Linked DNA regions of Oryctolagus cuniculus. The protein of the gene in region 3 interacts with the protein of the main gene of each other region in a pairwise test. Links are inferred from orthologs where the notes say so. Each region holds a gene or a part of one and is shown on either strand. Other genes may lie near its edges.

Region 1 (5,112 bases), on a different chromosome or scaffold from region 3:
AGTGGATTAGCCTATTGAGCTGTAGCACTGGTCGGCTGAGCAGGCCGGTTTTTTTTTTTTTTTTTTTTTTTTTTTTTTTTTTTTTTTTTTACAGGCAGAGTGGACAGTGAGAGAGAGAGACAGAGAGAAAGGTCTTCCTTTGCCGTTGGTTCACCCTCCAATGGCCGCCGCGGCCGGCGCGCTGCGGCCGGCGCACCGCGCTGATCCGGTGGCAGGAGCCAGGAGCCAGGTGCTTTTCCTGGTCTCCCATGGGGTGCAGGGCCCAAGCACCTGGGCCATCCTCCACTGCACTCCCTGGCCACAGCAGAGAGCTGGGAGCAGGCCGGTTTTTAAGTTGCTAATTTTGTATGGCCCATGAATGATACTATAAATGCCCAGTGGCCCTTCTGGGAGTAAAGATTCCCTACCCCTGAGGCAGATGAAGGAATGGGTTAGTGCTACGTAAAACCAAAGCAGTGACATCCCGGAGCATGCGAGCCCACGTCCCTCCTAGGAGACCGTCTTCCACGTGGAACCTGCTTCAGCCAGGGGCAGGATCCCACAGTCAAAGACTCACATCTTGCCAACCATCTGCAGATACCTGGTCTGTAGCAGAAACTTCCTGGCTGTGAATTTCAAACAGCCTCGCAGAGTGCAAAGGGCCAGATGCAGGAGAGGGAAACTCATTTGGGGAAAAAGTTACTGTAAAAATCCCAAACTGCTTGGTTGTATTTGCACCAATAAAATGATACAAGAAAGAAGAAAATATTTAAAAAAACAGAACAACCTGATCCCCATATTGTAGGAGATACTGTGCATCACAGCAGAAGAATCAGGCACCCGGGACGTGTACCTGTTGGCCAGGTTTTTGTCGGTTTCTCCTTCCGGTGAACTGACATCTCCGGTCAGGATGATTGTGGGTGGACTGTGAGCTATTTCTGCGGGTGCAGGGCCCTGGTTTAGAACAAAAACACAGACGGTGTTAGGCTGGGGGCAGGTAGGGTCTTCCTGGGGTTAAGCTAAAGTGTTTCTCCTAGCATCCTGAAGATGCGTGGCCGTCCTGTGAGGAGACCGGAGCAAGGTTTGCACCCCAGCTGGAGTGACGTCCAATTGATGAATAAAAATGCTGCATATTAAAGGTATATAACATGATGTTTTAACATACACGTGCATTGTGAGATAGCTACTGCCATCAAGCTAACTAGCATATCACCACCACCTCACACGGTTACTCTGTGTGTGCGTGTGTACGATACTCAGCAAGTTCAAGTACATCACACATTATTAGTAACTGTAGCCACCACACTGCCTGTCAGCACTCCAGAACGTACCAATCTAGAAATGCATGGATCTTTTCCCTTGGATCCATGCCTCCCACTTTGCCCTGTTGCCTGATCCCTGGGGCCCACCAGGCTCCTCTTCCTATGAATTTGACTTTTCCGGATTCCACATGAAAGTGAGATCATGCAGTAGTTGTCTGTGTCACCACATTCCACTTAGCATAACGTCCTCTAGGCTCAACACGGATGAGCCGCGTTGCACCAACATGGATGTAGTGTTACATTTCATTGTGTGTGTGTGTGTATGTGTGTGGGTGTGCAGCACACTTCCTTATGTGTTCATCCATTCACACACACTTCAGCTGTTTCCATGGCTTGGCTGCTGTAACACACAAATGTGGGGTTTTGGGGGACATTCAGAATGAAGAAATGGTAGGCAACTTCTTCATTGTCCAGCAGGCATTTGGCTGAGCTTAACACAGCCCGCTTTTCATGTGGTACTAGGGACGCGACAAGCCTTCCTTTACTAATTCTCACCGATCATGCAGGGAACGAATGGCACAGGGTCCTCAGACTGTGACTGACCTGGCTGGGAGGAACCGAGGCCAGCAGAAAATGTGGCACCCGCACAACCCGCATAATGAATGACAGTCCTCTCTTTTGGGTGATGATGACATTTCAGTAAAGGGGATTTATTCAGTGGGTAGTGGAATGCAGTTTAACTTTGCTTACTTTGTAAAAATGTAAAAAACATAAATAAATGTTCAACACATACAAATAACTCTGAAGATAGAACAAAAGTTATTGTCTAATCCTTGAATTCTTGAGGCATTATTTTATGATTGTTAACTAAGAGCCAAAATACCTCAACCTAGGGTGGTGAATTTGTAATTTGCATCAGGTGCTGCTGATGGTTGTGTAGATGATAAAATTCTGTCACGGGTCTAATAGGTATTTGTTGAGAGAAGAAATGAATGAATGAAATAAAAGCAGTAAGATACATAAGGATGCACCTGAACTGGTGTCCTCCCAGGCCTGAACAGATGGCAGTGTGTGTGTGTGTGTGTGTGTGTGACAATAGCATCACTGTCAACGCGCAGTATGTCTCTGGTTCTTTGGTCACCTCCTGTGGCAGTGTTTTCATCGCACACTGTTCCCAGGTATGGCTGGGAGGCCCTCTGGGGGTTCTATCAAATGTCCACTCGTGAACTTAAGACAGTGTCTGCCATTGACCTCTTCCTCCCCACCTCGCCAGCCGGCACCTGCTGCCATGGCTGCCAGGACCCTCTCGGCTGCCCTGCCGCCCACCCCAAAGAGCAGTCTGCTAACGCACACTCCCAAGCATACGGCCGCCACCTCCCACTGCTGGGGCAGTGGGTGCCAGTGGTCCCAAGAGAACCCATTCCTGGTTCTATTCTGACCTCAACTGGCCCACGCTGAAACCATGGCCTGGCGGCAGCCAGCAGCCTACAGCCCTCCCAGGGCCAGGACTGAGCTGTGTTCCTGAGCCCTCAGGTCATGGGTGGTGGTCCCTGGCAGGATGGGGAGGAAGCCCTCTCTCCTTTGCACAGTGCACCTTCTTGTTACATGGATGCTGGGCAGTGCATCTGGACTGCTTAAATCCCACAGTTTTTAGTGAAACTAACACTTCCCTCCCGTGAGCCCAAACACAAGGCCGTGTTCGGGGGACGTCTCTCCACGGGAGCCAAGCCAGGGAACAGGGAACACCATGTGCTGCCTCTGCACCAGATGCTTTTTTTGGAAGCCCAAAGCCGAACCCTTGAGAAGACACTCCTGGGGCCCTGTGTTCCCACCCAGGCCCACTTAGCACAGGAAACTGAGTGGCTGCAGTCAGGGGAGAAGCTCGGGATCTCCCACCTCTCAGAGCCCTGGGTGTGGACTTGAGCAGGGGAGGAGGAGTAGGAGGCAGCATTGCCTATTGGGAGAGCTGGACAGACCTGTGCTCAAATTCTCACCCAGCCACAGCTAGCTGTGTGTCCTTGGTGAGTCACTGAACCTCTCTGGGCTCTGTGATCATAAAATCTGACTCAGCAAGGCAGTGTGAGGATGAAAAGCAAAGTTGGAAAGCACCTGTCACTGGTGAGCTCAGTAAATGACCATTTCACTGTCTGTCTATTTTTTTAAGTTACCCACCATGCACGGAGGAGCAGCTTGGGATACAAAGACAAGGTCTTCTAGGACTCACAGTCCAGCAAGAGATACAGAGAACTGGGGCTTGGAATATAAGTCTCAGGTATAAGGTGGCAAGGGATGGATCGCAGGCATGAATGCTCAGAGGAGAGAGAAGGAAACTGTAGGGGAGGTGGAGAAGCCACAAAGTGAGCACTTGAGCTGGGTCTGGAGAGATGAACTCAGCCTGCTAGACAGAGCCATGAGTGCCAAGGTTTTTGCCTAAAGGAACAGCATTAGCAAAAAGGCATAACTAGGAATTATAGATGCACAGTGCAGCTTGATCCGGAGCATGGACTATGCAGCATGTGAGAGTGGAGAAATGAGAAATTAGAACAAGAGGTGGAGCCAGCTTCCGGAAGTCCCTGAATGCCACTCCAGTGAGTTTGGTCTTCACGGTTTTTGGCACCAGAGACCCTGAAGCTTAGGTGTGCGGATAACTTCGCTGCCCAAACAAAATACATAGAAATGTTGATAGCAGGTCCACCCATGAGCCCCCATGACTCACACTGGTGAGGCGATGGAAGAGGCCCAGTTACTAAAGCAACTGTCTTCCCTGTAGGAGGCAGAGGTAGAGAGACAGAGAAAGACAGATAAGAGGATGGGGGGGGCACTCTCATCTTCCAGTTCACTTTCCAAATGTCCATAACGGCTGGGGCTGGGCTGTGGGCAAAGCTAGAATCTAGGAGCTGAATCCAGGTCTGCCCCGTGGGCAGCATGAAGACAATGACTTGAGTCATGACTGCTGCTGCTTCCTGGAGTCTGTGTCAGCAGGAAGCTGGAGTCAGGAGCCAGAGCCAAGGGTGGCCCCCAGATTCTCTGACTGGGGGCCCAGGCATCCTAACCCGGGTCCTGAGCACCCCCACCCTGGGCCACCAGAAATGTTGAGGAGTTCACTGGTGAGTTGGAGCTCACTGTTCACTTGGTTGGCCAAGGTGGAGTAACAGGAAGTCAGCCTGATGCTGGTGGCTGGAACCAAGACTGGCGGACCCGTCTCATGGTCCCAGGGCTCCATTCCCTCCAAGAACACAGATATTTGTCTTTCTGTCAAGGACCCCTCCTGGGAGAGATGCCCAGGGAACTTCTCCCTAAGCAATGCTCATTCCACAAGAGTATCACTTCGGGGGCTGGTGGCGAGCTGGCTGCCGTACTCCTCCGTTCCCATCACAGTACGGGGGGCAAAGTCCTGCTCTGTCTCAGATGAAGGGGACACTGATGAACTGAGATGATGAAAATGCATACTCTGGGCCGGCGCCGTGGCTCACTAGGCTAATCCTCCGCCTTGTGGCGCTGGCACACCGGGTTCTAGTCCCGGTCGGGGCGCCGGATTCTGTCCCGGTTGCCCCTCTTCCAGGCCAGCTCTCTGCTATGGCCCGGGAGTGCAGTGGAGGATGACCCAAGTGCTTGGGCCCTGCACCCCATGGGAGACCAGGATAAGTACCTGGCTCCTGCCATCGGATCAGCGCGGTGCGCCATTGGAGGGTGAACCAACGGCAAAAGGAAGACCTTTCTCTCTGTCTCTCTCTCTCACTGTCTACTCTGCCTGTCAAAAAAAAAAGAAAGAAAATGCATACTCTGATAAGTGCCACAGGGCCCGCAAACACCCACTGATCACAGCTGGTGGTAAAATGAATAGTGGCTTTGCTCTAAGTGATTCTAAGTG
Region 2 (4,862 bases), on a different chromosome or scaffold from region 3:
GGCGCTTGGGGTCCGTGTGGGTCCTGCCATGGTTCTTGAGAGACAGCAGGTTGGGCAGAAGCTTGGGGCAGAGGGAACAGGGGTAGAGCCCAGTGGTGTGGGCCTTCTGGTGGTTCAGCAGGCTGCCCGCATGGCGGTAGGAACGCCCACACTGTGCGCAGCGGAAGGGCCGCTCCCTGTCTTCAGCCGGCGTGGGCTGCATTCTCTGCCTCCCACCAGCCCGCTCGGCATTCTCCTTGGAGGGTTCTGCTGGGGCCTCCTGAGCCTCCCCTTGCTCAGGGAGCCCCGGCTCTCCTTGTCCCGTCCCAGCCGCCTCCTCCATCTGGGTTGGCACCTGACTCTGGTCCTGGGCATGGGTCTGTAGGTGGTTGGCCAGGTCATGATGGTACTGAAAGGCCTTGTCACAGTCAGGGCAGGCAAAGGTCTGGGCAGCTAGATGGTTAGTGGCCACAGGACTCAAGGACTCCCTGTAGCAATGCAGGCAATTGAGGCTGTGGTTCAAAAGGCCGTCGGGCTGGCTGTAGGCTTTGCCGCACCGGCTGCAGGAAGGAGGAGACTCTGGCTGGCGCTGGGAGCTGCCGTCCCCATCCTCCCAGCCATCCGTGTGATTCAGACTGGGTCCATTGGTCTGGCCATTACCGACGTGGCAAGGACTCCTGGGATCATCGTCCTCTGACTTGTCTTCTGCCTTGGTTGGCACCTGACCCGGAGGAACCCAACCTCCCTTGTGATTCACCAGGCCCCCGGCTCCATCTGCCTTCCCCGAGCCCCATGACAGTGGCTCTGTGGCTTCTGGACCCGCTGCCTGAATGGCGCTCTGACTGAGCTCCCCAGGCCTTGCAGCTCCAACCTCCTCCAGCCGCGGCCCTGACTCAGTCCCACCCGATCTGTCCTGCAGACCCTGGTTGTCAGCCAGGTTCCCCTTGCTGCCAGCGGAGCCATCTGGACCTCCTGGGCCAGTGGGCAGCTCTCCTTCGGTCTGTTGCTCATGCTCCCGCAGGTGCCGCTCCAGAGATCCCCGGCCAGGGAAGCCGCGACCACAGAGGGCACAGCGCACAGCTGCCCGCCGGGCCCGACCGGCCCGCCGCCGGCGACTCTCAGAGTGCAGCCTCTGATGGTCCTTCAGAGCCATGCGGTTGGAGTAGGTCTTGGGGCAGGCAGGGCAGCTGTACTGGCCTGTCTCGTGGCTGCGCCGATGGTTCAGGAGGCTGCCGGCATGGCGGTAGGTCCGGCCGCACTGCCCACACCGGAAGGGCCGATCTTCCCGAGCCAGCTTCCGGGCGCCCCCGCCGCCTCGCCGCTCGGCGTGCACCCGCTGGTGGCTGGCCAGCTGTTTCCGCAGGCGGAAGGCCTTCCCACACTCACTGCAGCGGAAGCGCCGGGGGTCGGCGTGGATGCGCCTGTGGTTCTTGAGGGACATGAGGTTGGAGAAGCCCTTGGAGCAGGCCTGACAGCCGAAGTGGCCCGTCTGGTGGCTCTGCCGGTGATTGATGAGGCTGCCGGCGTGCTTGTAGGAGCGGCCGCACACCTCACAGCTGAAGGGCCGCTCAGAGCTGGCCTCAGTCTGACAGCCTTTCTCGGCTGTCTCCAGCCTCGGCTCCACCTCCTCCTTCACCGTCGTCTCCTCCCACGCCTCTTCCTTCACCTGCGTCGCCTCTGCCAGGGGCTCCGCCTTAAGCTCCTCCTGGAGCTTCCCGGCTTCCGCCTGCTCCGCCCCCTCCTCTGCCACGACCTGGGGCTCCGTGCTGCCCCCTGCCTCCGGGAGGGGCCGCACCTGGGGCTCAGAGCCTTTGCAGCGGGGGTGGTTCCGCAGGTGATTCCGGTAGGCGGCCAGGTTGGGGTAGCAGCGGGAGCAGACGGGGCAGCTGAAGTCTCCAGTCTGGTGGATCTTGCGGTGGTTCACCAGGCTGCCCCCGTGGCGATAGGTTTTGCCGCACTGGTTGCAGCGGAAGGGGCGAGGCTGGGCCTCAGGCAGACTTTCTCCGCCCTGCACGCCAGCAGAGCCATCTGCAACTGTGCCAACTACTCCCTCCTCAGACTTCGCATCTCGACCCTCTCCAGAGACAGAGGTCTCCGTGCCCTCAAAGACAAGGTCTGTAACCATCTCCACAGCATCACCGGCTGCTCTCAAGGGGCTGGGCACCTTCTCCACGGTATTCTGAGAGTTCTGACTCTGGTGGTGGCGTTCCAGGCTCCCCAGGTCATCGTAGGTCTGACCGCAGCAGCCACAGATGTGCCCGTAGCCTGCTCCATCCAGCGCCTCCACCTCGCGCTGCAGCTGATTCAGCAGCTCTGCCTCCGAGACCTGCAGCGGAGGACTATGGGTAGAGGTTGCTTCTGCGGCTCCTTCCTCCTCCCCCTCCTCCTCCTCTGAGCCCTCAGTCGTGCCGGAGGAGTTGTGGGCCTGGCGCTGGTGAAGCCTATAGCCGGCCCGCCCAGGGAAGATCATGCCACAGAGGCAGCAGAGGAAAGGCTGTGCTGAGGCCACCTCCCCTGGCCCGTGGCTCTGGAAGTGGCCGCGCAGGGCTGGCAGAGAGTCAAACTCCTTTGGGCAGAGGGAGCACTGATAGATGCCTGGTGGGTGACAGGGCCTGTGGTCCAGCAGGCCAGTGGCATGGGGAAAAGAATGCCCACAGTCAGAACACGTGTGAGGGACCTCGGCCTGCCAGCCAGCGGCAGCCTCGGCACAGTGTGAAGAGGGCACCGGCTGGCCAGTGGTCACTCTCTCTCCATCCGCCGTGCTAAGGCCATCACAGAAGCGAGTCTCGTTGCATTCCCCACCGCCTGGGATGGCCAAGTTGTTGAGGTGACAGGCCTCCCTCCCTTCCAGTCCTCCCTCGGGGCCTTGGCTCTCTTTGTCACCCTGTGAACAGGGCTCACCCCTTTCCAGCCCACATTTCCCTGCAGGTTCTGCCTGCAGACGGTCCCCTTCACTTTCCAAGTTGCCTCCAGCCCCAGCAAGGCTTTCTCCCGAAGGCTCTTGGGCAGCGTGCAGGCCCTCGTCATCTGCCAACTCCTGGGCCCAGGTCTCCCCTGACGGGAGTTTGGCATCTCCTCTACCAGCACTGCCTGCCTGCTTCCGATGCCGCCTGCTCCGCCGCCGACTGTGGCGTCGCAAATGGTTCTTCATGGCAGCCATGGTGTGGAAGTGCTTGGCACAGGCCTCACAACTGAAGTCCCCCGTCTGGTGGGTCTGCCGGTGGTTGATAAGGCTGCCTGAGTGGCGGTAGCTCTTTCCACAGTCTCGGCAGGCGAACGTCCGAGGTGGTGATGCTGTGGTCTCTGCCCTGCTGTTCTCTCCTCCCCCGAGGCCATGGGTCAGGCTGTGATGTTCCAGGCTCTTAGGGTCTTCAAAGAGCATCCCGCAGATGTTGCACATCTGGGCTGCCGTCCTATCTGCTGCTAGGAGGGGGCCAGAGGCCGCCTCCTCAGGTGTGCACACCCGCCCCTGATCTGCTACCACAGGATGAGGGGGTTCTACCTTAAGGTGGCTGGGAGGACTCTCAGTCCTTGGGTCTGCACTTCGGCGAGCAGCTTTGCAATGCACGCGCACGTGGTTGCGCAGGGCCATGAGGTTGGGGTATTTGCGGGGACAGAGTGAACACTGGTACTCCCCTGTCCGATGGCTGTGCCGGTGATTCACCAGGCTCCCCCGGTGCCGGTAAGCCCGGCCGCACTCATTGCACTTATAGGGCCGATGATCCAGGGTGGGGGGCGGGACCTCTTCCTCTCTGTGGGTGCTCTCAGCTCCTAGCAGGGGAGCTGGCGGCACTGATGGCTGCCCATCTTCCCCCATTCCTTGTCGGGGCCTGTGATGGGCACGCACATGGTTTTTGAGGGCAGCGGCATTGAACAGCTGTTTAGAACAGACTGAGCAAGGGTAGACCCCTGTTTGGTGGCTCTTGCGATGGTTGATGAGGCTCCCGGCGTGGCGGTAAGTCCGGCCACAGTCCCCACAGCGGAAAGGCCGGTACTCCTCCAGGCCACTCTCGTCCAGCTCCCCGGAGCCATTCAGCATCTGAGTACCAGGGAGCCGGGCCTGGCTGGTCTCATCCGTGTGCCCGTTTGTGGTGGGCGGCCCTTTCTCCTCCCATGGCTGCTCCTGCCTTTCGCCCTCATGGGACTGCTGATGCTCCAGCAGCTCCTGGGGGAGCCGGAAGGCACGAGGACAGCGAGGACAGTGGTAAGGCCGATACTGGGCATGGAGTCGGGAGTGGTTCTTCATAGCCATGAGGTTAGAGAACTCCTTGAAGCAGATGCTACAAGGGTAGACGCCCAGGGTATGGCTCTGGCGGTGGTTGGTGAGGCTCCCGGCATGCTTGTAGGTCTTGCCACACTGACCACACTTGTAGCGCCGCTCCTCCTCCGCAGGAGGGGACTGGGGAGGCAGCTGGCCCTCTGCGAAGTTCACTACTGACTCAGCCAGATACTGTTCCAAGTTGCTAAGGAGGCTGCTGGCTGGGGTGGGGAGAGGTGGGGCTTGGGCGGAGTTGGTGGTCGGCCTCCAGCCCTCTGTGCCCTCCTCAGGATCCCGCTGGCTGTCCCAGCTTTCTTTTTGTCTGGCGGGTGCATCTTCCCAAGTGCCTGCAGGCGCCCTGGGGTCGGGTCCAGACTCAGAGTCAGCTGCCTCTTCAGTGTGTTTGGCCTGGTCTCCCCAGCCTTCCCCGGGGCCAAGCCCCTGGCCCCAGGAATCAGCAGACACTGCCTCACGCTGGAGGTGGGGAGCGGCTTCCCTGGGGCGGGGGGGCCTGCGCCTGCGGCGGCCCTCAGGAGCGTGAGTCCTCATGTGGCTCTTGAGGGCCATGGGGTTGGTGAAGTCCTTGCCACAGGTGGGACAGGGGAACAGGCCAGTTTCATGGGTC
Region 3 (5,112 bases):
CTTCTAGTTTTTATTACATTCCATTCAGATATTGTGGCCTGCAAAATTTCTGCTTTAAGGGACAAAGGAGTATTCTCTTACTAAAAATTTATGATAGTTTAGTATATGCTAGTTTTAAAAATAAGGTTTTCATCTTTTTTATTATTACTTAAAAAATTTCTAAGCATATAAGGAAGAACAAAAAATTTCAGCCTGGTTATTAATAGTTAAAATTTAATTTCCTTAGTTAAGTCTTTTCAGTGTGCCATAAAAACCAATTATAAATATTACTGTCTTTCCATCCATCAAAATATGGATGTATGCTAAATTTTACTTTTTCTATTCTGCAAATCTTCCAAATATTTGTATGCCCACTTAATCTGTAAAACATTTAAAACAATTTCCTCTGTATAGGAGAATATTCAACAAAATTGGGCTAGATCATAGATAATTTATTTGAAGTTCACATCAACATTTCAGATGTACTACTGAATTTCCATGTATGGGCATTTTTACAAGCAAAACTGCTTTTAGCAGGGGTAGTGGTACTAGTATAAGTGTTTTATACATTACTCCTCTCAGTTTTACCATCGCAACCAAGTCATCTTCATTAAAACCTACCCCTTCCTTTCCACTACCCTTTACCCTGTTGTATGCTCTCTGCCTCCTAGACCTAAATTGTTGGAATGATCTTCAAATTGGCCTTCCCAACCCTCTTCCAATTTTCTCTATATATAACTTGCAATATTTTTTTTAAAAAAAGCTGGAATACACATCACTCATTCCATTATCTGAAAATTTCACTAGTTCCCTCTCTAGTTGGAATCCAGACCCTCAGGCACAAGCAGTGATGATCCATGAAATGGGGCTCTCGTAATCTCCCATTATTTTCTACACACACCTTCTCCATGCCTGTGCTCACTATCTATCGCTTTAAGCCGGGCCTCTCAGGAATGCCCTTTCCTTTTCTTTCTATACCTTGATTTTAGGACTAGCTGCAGGCTTATCTTCCTCAAAAGCCTCCCTGGACAAACCTAGCCCTCTCCTAAACTCCATAGATCATCCTAATCATATTATTCCTGTCCTCAGCATATGTGATGGTGATATATTAATTTTCCTCTAAATATTGGTCCTTCAAAAGCCTGTGGTGGTATTATACTTTGTGGTTTATCTACTGTCTTTTGTAGTTGTTGCTGATTGTAATATCAGACAAAAAATGTGCAAAGCATTCACATTTCATTTAGACCTAACAATTGTTGACAGGTCCTCTTCTATATAAAGTTGATCCTAGATATTTTATTTAGCTACCACTTACATTGCTGGCTAAATGACTAGACCCAAATACCTCAAAGGTAGACATTGGGTCTTTCACAATCACATATGTATAATGAATAGCAATAAGACCAAAAACTGATGTTTCATTGATTGCCCTCACTTGGCCAATTTTTTTTTTTTTTTTTTTTTTTGACAGGCAGAGTGGACAGTGAGAGAGACAGACAGAGAGAAAGGTCTTCCTTTGCTGTTGGTTCACCCTCCAATGGCCGCTGTGGCCGGCGCACCTCGCTGGTCTGAAGCCAGGAGCCAGGTGCTTCTCCTGGTCTCCCATGGGGTGCAGGGCCCAAGCACCTGGGCCATCCTCCACTGCACTCCCTGGCCACAGCAGAAAGCTGGCCTGGAAGAGGGGCAACCGGGACAGAATCCGGCGCCCCGACTGGGACTAGAACCCGGTGTGCCGGCGCCGCAAGGCGGAGGATTAGCCTAGTGAGCCGCCTCTCATTTGGCCAATTTTAAAGCTTGTTTAGTGGAAGTATGTTACTGAAACCTGGTGAAATAAAGTTTAAGATGAGGCCGGCGCCGCGGCTCAATAGGCTAATCCTCCGCCTTGTGGCACCAGCACACCGGGTTCTAGTCCCGGTCAGGGCGCCAGATTCTGTCCCGGTTGCCCCTCTTCCAGGCCAGCTCTCTGCTGTGGCCCGGGAGTGCAGTGGAGGATGGCCCAAGTGCTTGGGCTCTGCACCCCATGGGAGACCAGGATAAGTACCTGGCTCCTGGCTTCGGATCAGTGTGGTGCGCCGGCAGCAGTGCGCTGGCCGCGGCGGCCATTGGAGGGTGAACCAACAGCAAAGGAAGACCTTTCTCTCTGTCTCTCTCTCTCACTGTCCACTCTGCCTGTCAATAAAAAAAAAAAAAAGTTTAAGATGAGTTTATCAGACTAAAAGCAGTGTGTGTTGCAGTTTTTTGTGGTCTGCTTGTCTTAGAAGTTTGCTGTGAGTGTCCATACCTGCCAGTCAGAAGTTCATACATCAGGATTCCCAGTGACCAGTAGTCGGCTGAAATGTCATGGCCTTTATTCAGGATGATCTCTGGAGCCACATACTCTGGAGTCCCACAGAAAGTCCATGTTTTCTTTCCAAATCCTATTTTCTTTGCAAAGCCAAAATCAACCTTACAAAGGAAGAAAACAAGCTACTTAAGCCATTTATGATTAAGATGTAAAACAATAAGTTATTTTACTGAAGGACACTGATGATACTTAAAAAAAAAAAATCAAAACAAGTGCAAGTCATTATAATCTTCAAACAGAATCATCTACATCCCAAACAAACAAACGTCCTCAGTGGGAAAAGCTTAAACTTAAGAACTGGGTATAATTCACATCATTAAAATAAAGGCGACCTTTTGTTTCTGGAAATACTTATTTTTCTCTTCTGTATGACAACAGAGGTTGTGGAATAATCAAAGCATTTTGTCTTTACTAAAAATTATAATTTAGGCCTTTTTAGCATCTTCCCTAAATACACATGATTTCTTCTGGACTTGATGAAGTTGATAATTCATTTTGTATTAAGTATTTGAGAGCCAACTGGATTGTTGAAGGAGGTGAGTGACATAGCTACTATACCAAAAATACTGCCCTTGGCAAACATACACAGAGATAAAATGAAAATACATCCTTCATTTTTCTGGAAACCTGTTGAGAGAGGGGCCTCAAATGCAGACAATCTATTTTTTTCCTTAAAAGATTGGAGGGAGTCTACAGTTTACTGCCATTGATTTGATTTCTTTAAAAACCCAACTCTGGGTTGGCGCCGCGGCTCACTTGGCTAATCCTCCACCTGTGGCGCCGGCACCTCGGGTTCTAGTCCCAGTTGGGGCGCCAGATTCTGTCCTGGTTGCTCCTCTTGCAGTCTAGCTCTCTGCTGTGGCCCGGGAGTGCAGTGGAGGATGGCCCAAGTGCTTGGGCCCTGCACCCACATGGGAGACCAGGAGAGGCACCTGGCTCCGGGATTCCAATCGGCGTAGCGCACCAGCCATAGCAGCCACTTGGGGGGGTGAACCAACGGAAGGAACACCTTTCTCTCTGTCTCTCTCTCTCACTGTCTAACTCTGCCTGTCATAATAATAATAATAAATAAGAACCCAACTCTGGATTAAAATTCCCAAAGTTTAAAAATAGAAGAAGGCATTTCAGATCCAAAGTCCACGAAAGTTGTCCATTTTTAAGGAAGAGAACTTCCTTTCTACAGTAAATCTTTAGAGCTTTTCATCAGTTACCATCATCATCATAGCCTGGATTATATATTATTATAAAGCTATTTTTAGCTATTTTTAAATGAGCTATAGAGCTCATTTTTTTCTCCATTAGTGCTATTCTTAAATATTAAAATGCTTCAGTTTCCCATAACAGAATATCTATTGTCCTTGGATGGTAGAAGTCTGATTAGAAAGGAGGACTCTGGGAAGCTCTTGCAGGTCTGTGAACACCTGCTGCAAATGTGTTTCCCAGTGCGTACCTGAAAGCATGTTTTGCTCAGGGTGTTGATTTTTTTCACTTTTGCATAATTTGAAAGAATATTTAGTTAAACTAAAATTCCAGGACCCGCTTTTTGAAAAGGAAAACAAATGTTAATGGTAGCAAATAAACACAGCTGTATGAACAAGTATGTGTGAAACCATGTGTGAAATGCACTGACCAATTTAGCATAACCTCGGTGATCTAGGATGAGATTTTCTGGCTTGAGGTCCCGATAAATGATTCCTTTGGAATGCAGATAGGCAAAAGCTTCTACCACACATGCTGTGTAAAATCTGGTTGTAGAATCTTCAAATGAACCTCTGAAAGATAGAAAATAGAATGAAAAGTCCATGAGACATTGCTTTCCCTAATAAGGTATTTTTTTTCTCATTTAAATACATTCCTGAGCCAAAATTTAACCCAGTGGCCAATGCCCTACTGACTGAATGCCACATGATTACCATCAAATTTGGATTATAAAGCATCCAAGGATCGAATCAATGAATTCTCTACGCTTCTGAGTGGTGTAGTAAATCTAACTTCTCAGAGGGCTGCAGAGGAATGCAACCCGTGGACTTAGGGGCTTCCTCTCAGCAGCCACTACAATCTAGAAAGGCAGAGTTACATCAGGGGCAGGAGAGGCCATCTTTTTTCAGAGTTGGAGATTATGATTTGATTCACACTGACTGGCGGGAGGCTTGTTTTTGAATCTGACGCAAATATTACTCATAAGAAAGGGAGGGAAAGCTCATGTTTGCCAAGAGTCCCCTTGGAAATCAGCTGTCACGCCACCCATGCAGTCGTGTTGCAAGCTACATTGCAATCCTGTTTTCAAACTTCTGTTATCCAGATCAACCGGATCTAGTTCCTGCACTACTGCCTTCTTATTAGTAGAAAAGGCTGACACTGAAAAACAATTAGAGAGAAAAGGTAACTGGAAGAGACACTTTATTAGTAAAACTGACAATGTTGTTTAGCAAAAAAGTGCTGTCTCATCTCTATAATTATGTACTCATATATACCGCATACTTTAAAAAGTTCATGGAAAACGAATATTATGAAAAAAGTATGACTTCAAAATACTTCGGCTCTAAAATAAACTTATCTCAATTTTTTTCATCAACTTTTTAATATTTGGTATATGTGTATACAAGTGTACATATTATTGACTGAACTAGTGAAATAAATCTTAGAACAAAGGAGATAACATTCAGTGCTAAGGAAGGACCTTTATGCTTTAAATGCTTTTGTTTTTCATAGAACTCCTTAAGATATACTGTGTTTGAGGCCAACATTCTAGGGTAGCAGGTTAAGCTACCCCCTCAGGTGCCAGCATC
Region 4 (5,112 bases), on a different chromosome or scaffold from region 3:
TATGGGGCATGTACTCTATAGATTACTATACAGCAGTCAAAAACAATGAAATCCAGTCATTTGCAACAAGATGGAGGAATCTGAAAAACATTATGCTGAGTGAATTAAGCCAGTCCCAAAGGGACAAATATCATATGTTCTCCCTGATCGGCAACAACTAACTGAGCACCAAAGGGGAAACCTGTTGAAGTGAAATGGACACTATGAGAAACAGTGACTTGATCAGCCCTTGTCCTGACTGTTGATGTACAATGTAATACTTTATCCCTTTTAGTATTTTTTTTGTTCTAGTACTATTGGTTGAACTCTGTGATTAATGCACAATTATTCTTAGGTGTTTAAATTTTAACTGAAAAGTGATCCCTGTTAAATATAAGAGTGGGAATAAGAGAGGGAGGAGAGGTACAATTTGGGACATGCTCAATCAAATGGTGGAGTTAGAAACGTGCCAGGGGATTCCAATACAATCCCATCAAGGTGGCATGTACCAATGCCATCTCACTAGTCCAAGTGATCAACTTCAGTTCACAATTGATCACACTGATAGGTCTAAGAGTCAAAGAGATCACACAAACAAGACTAGTGTCTGCTAATACTAACTGATAGAATCAAAAAGGGAGAGAACGAACCAACATGGGAAGCGGGATACACAGCAGACTCGTAGAATGGCAGATGTCCTAAATAGCACTCTGGCCTCAGAATCAGCCCTTAAGGCATTCGGATATGGCTGAAGAGCCCACGAGAGTAGTTATGCATGGAAAGCCAGGACACTCTGGGAAAAAAAAAGAAGACCTAAATGAAAGATCTCTGCAAGTGAGATCCCAGTGGAAAGAATGGGGCCATCAAAGAAGGAGGTACCTTTCTCTGAAGGGAGGAGAGAACTTCCACTTTGACTAGGACCGTGTCGGAATAAGATCTAAGTCGGCAAACTCAAAAGGCTTCCATAGCCTTGGCAACTCATGGCTAGAGCCTAGGGAGATTACTGATGCCATAAACAAGAGTATCAAATTGTTAAATCAACAACAGGAGTCACTGTGTACTTATTTCTCATGTGGGATCTGTCCTTAATGTGTTGTCCAATGTGAAGTAATGCTATAACTAGTACTGAAACAGTATTTTACACTTTGTGTTTCTGTGTGGGTGCAAACTGATGAAATCTTTACTTAATATATACTAAATCGATCTTCTGTATATAAAGATAATTGAAAATGAATCTTGATGTGAATGGAATGGGAGAGGGAGTGGGAGATGGGAGGGTGCGAGTGGGAGGGAAGTTATGGGGGTGGGAAGCCTTTGTAATCCATAAACTATACTTTGGAAATTTATATTTACTAAATAAAAACAATATTAAAAAAAAAAGGAATGGATTTGTCTGTTAATTCCAGAAGGCGTGGGTCTGGAAGGCGTGTCTCAGGTAGGGCCAGGGGTGAGAGGTCCTGTCATCCACCTGTTCAATTCTATTCTACAGAGTAGTTCGTGATCTCTAATGAGTCTGGGACAACCCCTGGAAGGAGACGAGAGGGAAGGGCTGGTAATAAGCCAAGGTGCTAGCTGTGGAAGACCTGGGGCAGTGTGCTTCCTTATAATGTATCCACACACTCCTTCCCCATGCCTCCCTCACTGGCTCCTTCTTCAAGTGAGCCCAGCCTTCTGCCTAGGAATATAATGGTGGGAGGCAGGACAGGCCGGTGTGGGAAGGAGGAGAACATGCACTGGCTCCCAGTCATCAAACCCATGGGCGTCCTAAGAACACCTGGTGCCAACTCCCTACGGGGAGGGGCTAGATTCTGGAAAGCTCCCTTAATAAGTACTCGACCCAGGGGGTTAGAAGCTCACTCAATCTCCAGGAGCCCTGGGGTCTGCGCTGCTCCATCAAGGGGTGACAGAAGAGAACTGGGCGTGGCTTTGCCGAGGGACACCTGAAATGCAAAGTACCAGCTGGAAAGGCCTCTCAAGCCCCTCCGGGTTGTGGATGCGGTGTGGACAGCTTGACCTGGCCTGGGAGCCACCCAGAAGTCCCCATCTTCCCTTTGTCCTAAGGCTCACTCTGCAGCCAGTGGGAAGGTTGCTGGCAGAGCCAACCTACTGGCTTCTAGGCTCCCAAAGGCAAACGGACAGACAAACAGAGGGATGGACGGATGAACACGCGCCCCGGGGTACCTGCAGAAGAATCTTGTTCCCGTCGTGGTCCTCCGTCTGCCAGCGCCCCTCACTGATGGGGCTGCAGGGGTTGGGCAGGAGGGGCACCAGCTCGCCCATGTCCTTTACTCGGAACTCCAGCACGGAGGAGTCGGTGGGGACCGGGTTCTGGTCGCAGGGCAGCCTTTTCAGGGAGAACTGGATGTCCAGGTCCAGGTTGGAGAAGATGGGGAAGATGCAGAAGTCGGTTTTCCTCTGGCTGGGGCTCCGACGGAGAATCAGCTCGTAGAAGCGCAGGCTGTCGGCGTAGCTGTCGTGGCGACAGTAGATGGTGAAGCGCACGATCTCCTTGCCATAGTGCACGGGCCGGATCGCCCACAGAGGAGTCCCGGGTGCCAGCGTGAAGAAGTCCTGGCTGCAAGGCAGGTAGGGCAGGAACCTGCCGTGCACGCGCTCCGTGTGGTGGTGGCGCCAGGGCGGCCGCCGCAGCGTGCGGTGCAACTGCAAGATCTGCTCCTCGCCATACTCTTCCTGCAGGAACAGCACCACGGCCAGCGCCGGCTGCGTGCCCCTGGGGGACTTCCGCCGCCGCCCGCTAGAGCGCCGCTCTGACACCCGGAATAGCGGGAGGTCCGGGTGGATCCAGGCCAGGACCTTGTCAATGGCCTCCTGCAGGGGCCGCGACTCCCCTGGGTCCGCGATGATGTGGATGCTAACCAGGAACGGGTCTTGTGCCTCCTCCACCGAAAGCTCACCTGGGAGCATACACAGACACACACACACACACACACACACACACAGAATGAATGGATGCATGAACCAATGAAATTGTGATTATTGCATTAAGGTGTTCAGAGATGACACGTGTGGCCTTGGCAGGGAGAGAAGCCAAATTCTAATACAACTGACTCCACGATCTGTAATTTTCTGATTTCAAGGTCAGGTGCAAGAACTACTAGGGCAGCTCCCTAGTGGCCAAGGTTAGGAATGGTTTCCAAGCTGTTCAGTTTTAGGAAACCTTGGTCCTGCATCTGAGCAGGTGCAGCCGGGTAGGGAACATTTGACTTCCTGTTTATCTACTAGAGGACAGAAAGTCAAGTCTCAAAGGGGTAAGGGGCCCACTGGAAAATATGCTGCACTGCCACCTGCATGCCATTCAGTATTTCCTGAAAGAACTGCAGCATTTCCCTACAAACTCCCCCAGTACCACTGCGCTCCTGTGCTTTGCTTAGTTCACTGGGCTGTTCTATTCATTCATTTAACCAGCCCTTATGGGCTCCTTCCTATATGCCTGGCACTGACCCATGGGGCCTGCTGTGCAGGATGGAGAGACCTGTGCTTGCTCCCTGGGAGCTACTCCAGCTGAGAGTTCAAGCCCAGCCTAGGAAGGTGTCCTGCCCATAGTACCTCCCTGGCATGATCATCTCGCTGCTGGAGTCACAGGGACAACAGCCTGGTGGGCGCAAGTGCAGTGTTCTTGCTGTTGAAGTTTATGGGGCTGTGCTTTGGGGTGCGGTTTTGAAAGCTTGGTAGGCCCATGACTGCCCGCGTGGGGCTGCCTTTTGGGCCACTTCCTGGCTCATGTCCACCCGGAAGCCCACCCTTCCTGAATGGGGCAGTTCCCCGCCCTGTGGTCTCTGGCAGAGTATCTGGAAGCACTGGACTGCAAGTGTCAAGCTTCCTGTTTACCTTGGCAACACCTTCCCATGGGTGACATAGTTTGCTGGCCACCCTGGCATATTTCTAACTGATTAGCTATCCTTGGTAAAAGGCTTGCTCTTTTTAAAAGATGGCTTGGGGCAGGCATTAGGCCACCACTTTAGGATGCCTGCATCCAATACTAGAGGGGAAATTTGAGGCCCAGCTCCTGTGCTTCTGATCCAGCTTCCTGGGAATGTGCCCTGGGGCCCAGCAGATGACGGCTCACGTGCTTGGGTGTCTGCCACTCACAAGGGAGACCTGATGTAGTTCTGGTCTCCTGGCTTCATTCTGGCCCAGCCCTGCATGTTTTGGGCACCTGGAGAGTGAATAAGCAGATGGAAAGATTTTTCTTTCCTAGCTGTCTCTGTCTCTCTCGCTCTGCCTTTCAAGTAGATGAAAAAAATATAAAAACATTTAAGAAGATGGCTTTATTTGCCTTTGTATAAATTATATGACTCACTTCAGGGAAAATAAGGCATCTTTAGGCTAACTGTGATGGGCGGTGTCTGGAATCTAGACCTGTCTTCACATTGTCCACTAAGGGTATCTGGCACCGCAGGACCATGTGGTCCGTGATGTCTGAGAAATGTGATGTGCTTGAAAACCATGACCTCAGTTCACAGGATGAAAGGTAATCTTCATGGTAGGTAAGCAAGATACGCCAGGTGGGCTTATGGGCTAGTTTCACTAAGTGCACCTATAATAACACAGCTTCGATTTTGTTGGGTCAAAATCTGTCTGAATTTTCACCCCAGCTCTGACTGTCAGACATCTCACTGCAATACTTCAACTTGTTGTTACCTTCTCTCTTTCATTCACTCATTTGCACACTTCTGGAGCAGGCACTGTGAGTAGGTACCAGGTACTAGGGAAGCAAGGAAGCCGGCACCGCTGAGAACTATGGGAGTCTGTACCGACTCTGGTATGAAGTGTTCCTCTATAGTTGTGCAGTGTACATCCTGCACAGCCACAGGCAGCAGCCCTCTAAAGAACTGTGGCCACAGGTGAGACCTACACAATTTAGGTGGGAACACAGGCAGAAAAATTTAAAATCAGGGGTGGGCACTGTGGTGTTGCAGTTTGGGCTGCTTCATGGTGGTTTATGTCCCAGCTACTCTGTTTCTGGTCTAGCTTCCTGCTAATGCACCTGCCTGGCAGCAGATGATGGCTGAAGTGCTTGGGCCTCTGCCACCTGACAGGAGACCTGGCTAGAATTCCTGGCTCCTGGCTTCAGCCTAGTCCAGGCCTGACTGTTGTGGACATTTGGGAAGT

The links.
Region 1: the proteins of PRKG1 (region 3) and IRAG1 interact in a two-hybrid assay, tested with the Homo sapiens proteins (2 studies listed by BioGRID). The link is inferred for Oryctolagus cuniculus from reciprocal best matches to the Homo sapiens genes PRKG1 and IRAG1.
Region 2: the proteins of PRKG1 (region 3) and ZNF646 interact in binary tests that used the Homo sapiens proteins (3 or more experiments, as listed by UniProt). The two-hybrid records come from large-scale screens. The link is inferred for Oryctolagus cuniculus from reciprocal best matches to the Homo sapiens genes PRKG1 and ZNF646.
Region 4: the proteins of PRKG1 (region 3) and FAM124A interact in binary tests that used the Homo sapiens proteins (3 or more experiments, as listed by UniProt). The two-hybrid records come from large-scale screens. The link is inferred for Oryctolagus cuniculus from reciprocal best matches to the Homo sapiens genes PRKG1 and FAM124A.

The regions. Positions count from the first base shown.
Region 1 is NC_091432.1:55,530,272-55,535,383, reverse strand, and holds part of IRAG1 (inositol 1,4,5-triphosphate receptor associated 1), read right to left. Parts: intron 934-5,112; coding exon 767-933; intron 1-766.
Region 2 is NC_091450.1:6,094,932-6,099,793, forward strand, and holds part of ZNF646 (zinc finger protein 646), read right to left. Parts: coding exon 1-4,862. UniProt on the Homo sapiens protein: May be involved in transcriptional regulation.
Region 3 is NC_091446.1:45,324,421-45,329,532, reverse strand, and holds part of PRKG1 (cGMP-dependent protein kinase 1), read right to left. Parts: intron 4,096-5,112; coding exon 3,954-4,095; intron 2,425-3,953; coding exon 2,261-2,424; intron 1-2,260. UniProt on the Homo sapiens protein: Serine/threonine protein kinase that acts as a key mediator of the nitric oxide (NO)/cGMP signaling pathway. GMP binding activates PRKG1, which phosphorylates serines and threonines on many cellular proteins.
Region 4 is NC_091440.1:70,607,932-70,613,043, reverse strand, and holds part of FAM124A (protein FAM124A), read right to left. Parts: intron 2,895-5,112; coding exon 2,161-2,894; intron 1,920-2,160; coding exon of another isoform or gene 1,837-1,919; intron 1-1,836.